Linked DNA regions of Rattus norvegicus. Each later gene encodes a partner of the first gene's protein in a complex. Links are inferred from orthologs where the notes say so. Each region holds a gene or a part of one and is shown on either strand. Other genes may lie near its edges.

Region 1 (2,325 bases):
ATACTTGAAATTTCCTGAGAACATAGACCTCCTGTGTTCTCAATAGACACGCACACACTCCCAAATAGTAACTACAACTACATGTGGTGATGGCTGTGAAAATAACTCTATTTATGGCATAATTTCATAGGACAAACACATTGAAGCATCATGCTGTCTAACTTAAATAGTTTTTAATTTGTCAATTATATCCTCTAATTGAAAAACAATGGTTTTTACCTGTTGTTTCCTGGCCACACAAACTGGACGTGTGAAGAGCAGCAGGTATAGAAGTGAGGCTGTAACATGGTATAGACGTGGGCATGTGTGATGAGAGCTTTGTTCCTATGGAGAGAAAGAACGTGGACCATCCGGAGTAGGGACACTCGTCATTAGGTTGAAACCCCACAGATATTTCCATCTCTGTATTTATAGAGAGTTGTAGGTTGCTTATTTATCAGCACTTCAGTACCCACCATTCATTTATGAATTTTCTCTGTATATTTTAGGAGCCTTGTTGATACTGTCTATGCCTTGAAGGATGAGGTCAAGGAATTGAAGCAGGTAATGCAGTACCAAAAGTTATCTTCTCAGATGACAGACCAGCTCTGTCTTGTTGGCCACTGGGAGGTGGTTTCAGGAGGAGCTCAGGAGCAGGTACTAAGGGAGAGTTAGTATTTTCTTTGCAGTAGCAGGTAGGTTTTATTTCTTTTACCACGTGGCCTTGAATTTCTGAGCCTTTCTATTTATATATATGCAGCAGAGTCCCAAACTTACATATTGCTTTCTTGTTTCTTCACATCTTAAAAAACTGTAAGCAAGCTCAGGTATGGCAGTGCCTGTCTACAATCCTAGCCACTAGGAAGGTTGAGGCAAGGGTATCATGTATTTGCTAGCCTGGTGTAGCAAGACCTTGTCATGAAAACAAAAGAAAAGGAATAATGAAAGAGAGATAAAAGAGGAAGAAAGAAGATAGGAAGGAAAGACAGAAAAGAGAATTGTCTGTGGTGGTTTATAAATTTATGGGTAATGTAGTCCCATGCTCCATGACATACACACACCCTATATGATAAGACTTAGTGTACCTGTAGGAAGGGGACGCACAGTGAGAGGGGAGTTGAGAGCCTTCAGCAGCACTTGTGGAATACTTAGCAAATTCTGGATGAGCCCTGGTTTAGTCGTGAGCTGAGGCCGGCCAGTGAGGCCAGGAGGAGTAGAGGCATTGCAGAGTTGAAACTTATGACATATGATGGCGCAGTGCTGGGATTCGGAGAGAACAGACATTAGAGAAGCTTCTCCCCATGGTTATGTAATGTACTATGGTGGGCAAACTTTCAGCGATGCAGAAGCACTGGAAGAGGTTTCAGGCAATGGGGGAGGTGATACTAAGTTCCCTTTAGAATGGAATCATCTCTCTAGATGGACCTGCCCCTGACATGATCCTGTGGATCTGATACTCATAAGATGAAGTTGGCACTAGAGATATTTGGCAGCCTCTTAGTACACGCTTGTATCAAAAAAAAGGGGGGGGGGGATCCTAAATAAAAAAGTGTGGAGCAAGCTGTCTGTGGGGCAGGTTCAGACTGTGGGAACACTTGGATTAAAGTGAAGAGTGTGGGAGGCTGCTTACACATAGGCAGAGAACCAAGAGACAGCCTGCTCTCAGAATATGTAGTCAGAGTGAGGGATGCCATGAAGAGAAGGGGGAGGGGGAGGGGAGGAGGAAGAGGGGGGGGGAAGAACCCCTGAGAAGGGCTGCCTTGGCTCAGTGATTAATAACTCTTTTCCCTTCTAGGAGAATAAAAAAATGAAGCAATGTCTGGAAGAAGAATTGAAGTCGAGGAAGGACCTAGAAAAACTGGTCCGGAAGCTGTTGAAGCAAACCGATGAATGCATTCGCGCTGAATCCAGCAGCAAGACCTCGATTCTTCAGTAACCATCACTGTGCAGGGGAGCACAGTGCCTTCAGCACATGTTAAAATGGCCAGCTGAATGATATAACTGTGCACTTAAGCTTTGTGCTTTGTGGTGTTGGGATTCTTTCTCTCTTCTTCCCTCCTCTCCTACCCCCTCCCCCTCCTCCCACCCCTGCTGTTTGATTCAGTGTTTGTTGCTTGGTTATCAGTTGATTGACACTTGTTTTAACAGGGGAAATAGCCTGAGGTGGTGGTAAAAATGGCCCCGATATTTTGCTCTGCCCAACAGCCCTTAACTACCTAATCTGCTGGAGGCTAAGCTTCTCAGGCTTTGTTTAGAGTAGGTGAAAATGAACACCTTTGCCCAGTGACCCAGCTGCACCTCCCCTGACTGTCATACGGCCCCTTTCAGTACTGTAAAAATTTATTG
Region 2 (3,714 bases), on another chromosome or scaffold:
TTTAAAGAATTAATTTTCGGGGCTGGAGAGATGGCTTAGTGGTTAGGAGCACTAACTGCTCTTCCAGAGGCCCTGTGTTCAAATCCCAGGGTGAACTCATGGTGGCTCACAACCATCTGTAATGGGATCTGATGCCCACTTCTGGTGTGTCTGAAGACAGTTACAGTGTACTCCTATATAATAAATAAATCTTTAAAAAAAAGAATTTTCAGAGAAGTTTAAAGTAAAATGTATATGAATTAGGAATGACCTAGAACTTTGGGAAGAGGCAGGAAAGGGGCAGAACCAGCCACAGAAGGCAAATTCTCATCAGAAACTACAGACCGGCAAGAGTGCTATCTCAATCACTTTATAGCTACTGTACTATACTATATTCGCAGACATTCGTACGTATGCATTCTTTTTAACATGGGAAGAAGAGCAGCAGCTGTAGTAGGACTGTAGTGCTTGGGTGGGGGAAAACTGGAAGAAGATAAACAGGAAGGCTCCAAAGCTACATACACGATAGAAACGGACCACGCTCCACCACAGCGATCACCACCATTCAAGTGAAGTAGAAACATCCTTAAGCCACTTACCTTCGGTATACAAATAATGTCCCTTCTATATCAGTCTTCTCCTGTAACAGACAACGACTCTGTCAGTTTTCCAGGAATAATCCAAGGTCAAATGATCTTGGTGAAGCACCTACACGTTCAGGCCAACTTGTCTTATTTACTGTGAAATCGATCGTGTATGTGCTCAAGGGAATGCACGCTGGCATTTGTGTACAACTGGAGAGGCCATCGGTCACTCTCAGGCGTCATTCCTTCTTTTGAGTCAGGGGGTCTCACTGGCCAGAAGATGGGCAATTTAGCTGCACTTCCTGGTCAGTGAGCTCCAGTGTTGTGTCATAAGCGCCTCCATGTCCCCAGAGGACACGTAAGTGCAAGCTACTACGTCCAGCTTTCTGTGTGAATACTTCAGGTTCTCAAGCTGGGGAGGCAAGCACTTCATCCACTGAGCTGTCTCTTTAGCCTCCAAATTAGTCACGTTTGAACAGGTAAAGCAATTCACTTTTTAAAAGAAATCTAAACAAATTATGTATCTGTTCACCCCTGTGTTTATGTATGTCCAACCCAACAATATGTGTACATCTGTAGCACATGTCTATTTTTGCCAGTGAGGAACATTTAAAGGGAAAAAAAAAGCGATTTAGCTTTACTTATTTTATGTATTAAATTTTTTTTTCAATTAGAAAAGATGTAGGGCTCTTTTGTCAGCATACGTATTTCTTTGTAACACATGTATGTGTGTACGTGGAGCTTAGAGAGGGCACTGGACGTCTTGGAACTGGAGTTACAGATGGGTCTGAACCATCATGGGGATGCTGGAAATTGAGGCAGGTCCTTGGGAAGAGCACCAAATGCTCTTAGCTACTACTGAGCCATTTCTCTGCCCCAGCTTCTCTCTGCAAACACTAAAACCTTTCAACTAGGTATCTTAATACTCCAGTCAAGGTATTGTCTACTGCAACTTAAAAAACCAAAAACTTGGAAAAAAAAACCAAAAACCAAACCAAACCAAACTTGAGCAGTCTATTGAGGTTTATAGAAAAAGAATGGAAACTTTCTTCAAAAGGGATACCAGGTTGAACTCAGAGCCTGGGCCTCATGATGCACAGCTGTGTAGCACTGAGCTAAATCCCTAACCCTCGGGACGTTTTCTTCTAAGATACTGTTTCATTTCTGGAGAATTTAGGACTATTTTCACGAGTTACACATTTTGTGGTGACCAAACACAATTTAATATTTTCAGAACTTTGTTAAGACTCGTGGATAGAAACCATTCTCTGCCTTAGACAAATGTGGTAGGTTTTTAAAATAAACGCCTGAAAATGTGATTAAGAAACTGTAACTTGGGTTGGGTATATAGCCCAGTGGTAGAGGAACAGTACAGTGTCTGCCTAGCATCAGGAGGAAATAGGACATCATGTAAATAGGTGCTTCAAGTTGAGGTTAACTAAAGTCAGTGAATGTAATTTCTGGAACTCCATGCCACTCACAAAATCCAAAAAGAACTAAGAAGTGAGCGATCAAACGTCCTATCACCGGTCTCTTTTTTTTTTTTTTTTCTTGTAAAAACGTCTCCAAGGAATCCAATTCTTACTGAAGTAGCCTTGAAATCTTTCTTTAAACTCCGGTGATACCAGTTCTGCTAAAGCTGGACTAACTCCTGAGACTGATTTTTAAGCTTCAAATCCAAATCATCACATTTAGGTCGGCAGGGAAAGAGGAGTGGATTTTGCAATCAAGAACACGTGATTTATCTAATAGTTTTCAAAGTCTCAAACACAGGTTTTCAATCACTTGTTAGAAAAAAAAATTAACTTGTCTCATATCCTGCCAATGCAACCTCAAGTCTCCAGAACCGACCCCAAAAAGACTGATCCTGCCTCATTCCTGTCCTCCATCTGATTTCCCTGTTATGTCTCTGGTGTACTCCTACCCTTCATTCCTCCAATTCCGCGTGTCCCTCCCCTTTCCCCCGTCATCTCTTCGGCTCTGGAAGGACCTTTGGGAGAGGTTCGGGCCTCGCCTTTGCGGTCCTACTCTGCTCCACACCCCACCCCCAATCCTAAGCTGTCTGCGCGGTCCCTTTAAGAGGCGGCAGCGGCCAGGCTGGCGTTCTCCACGGCTGGGCCTCACTCACCCACTGGTTGGCTTTGGGGCAGAAAGTGTACAAGGCGACCTGGCCCGTGAGGTCTGCGATGCTGGTGATGTAGGGGTCGTGTTGTTTCAAGGCCGCCAGACTCATCTCTTGCTCAGCTCGACTCAACAACTCCATCTTGGATCTCCAGGCCGAGCCCCTCGGGCGGGGGCGGACTGGAGAACAGGAAAGTGCCATCCAGGCAAAGTTCCCCCAGCTCAGTCAGCCGTCCACTTCCGCCTATCCGACCTGCCTTGCCGAGGGTGGTACTTCAGTTAATCTGATCCGCCGCTCCTATGCCCTGGGAGCCTGGTTCCGATCTTTTTAGGTCTGCGGCTGCCGGAAGGTACAGGCGTCCGCGCCTGCGCGGTGGAGCTTCGGCGAGCCGACATTCCGGAGTCCTCCTCTCTCACCTGGCGGGATCTGAACTTGTTCCTTGAGTGCTCCAGACTCCTGCCAGTGAGACCGCAGCCCAGCACATACCCTGAATCGAAATGCTTGCTGCTGTGGAAGTGAGGTTTTCATGGACCATTGAGAAAACTCAGACCAAGTGAGGAAAGGGAGCTGTACTTTACTTCCGAGCTGCACTTTCACTCTTAACTGTTTGGTAATTTTTGAAAGAAATGTTTCAAAGCAGCCAAACTAGCCTGCCTGGAACTACACTGTACTCGGCTTCCCCTCTTTGGCTTGTCTTTTCCTTCATCTGGGTCCTAAATAAATATTTCTGTTGTTCTAGAAAGACCTATTACGGGGTTGGGGATTTAGCTCAGCGGTAGAGCGCTTGCCTAGCGAGCACAAGGCCCTGGGTTCGGTCCCCAGCTCCGAAAAAAAGAAAAAAAAAGCAATATAGAAAGACCTATTACTTAAATAATAAGTAGATCTCTTAAAAAGCCAACATTATTGGGCATCCTAAGGGGTCAGGTACTACAAAGTAAAACAACGTGCTCAGCCTATTTTCATTGAGCTGCTTTAAAAACCATCGTTTTTCTTTATTGAGGACATCTCGGCACAAATGAACGTTTTTGA

Evidence for each region. The genes of interacting proteins can lie anywhere in the genome.
Region 2: Arhgef6 (region 1) and Dcp1a share a complex: the UniProt entries of both Homo sapiens proteins name them as parts of the cytoplasmic complex. The link is inferred for Rattus norvegicus from reciprocal best matches to the Homo sapiens genes ARHGEF6 and DCP1A.

What each region holds. Positions count from the first base shown.
Region 1 is NC_086039.1:140,184,358-140,186,682, reverse strand, and holds part of Arhgef6 (rho guanine nucleotide exchange factor 6), read left to right. Parts: intron 1-488; coding exon 489-543; intron 544-1,774; coding exon 1,775-1,915; 3' UTR 1,916-2,325. UniProt on the Homo sapiens protein: Acts as a RAC1 guanine nucleotide exchange factor (GEF).
Region 2 is NC_086034.1:5,662,574-5,666,287, reverse strand, and holds the start of Dcp1a (mRNA-decapping enzyme 1A), read right to left. Parts: upstream 2,852-3,714; 5' UTR 2,827-2,851; coding exon 2,692-2,826; intron 620-2,691; coding exon 579-619; intron 1-578. UniProt on the Homo sapiens protein: Necessary for the degradation of mRNAs, both in normal mRNA turnover and in nonsense-mediated mRNA decay. Removes the 7-methyl guanine cap structure from mRNA molecules, yielding a 5'-phosphorylated mRNA fragment and 7m-GDP.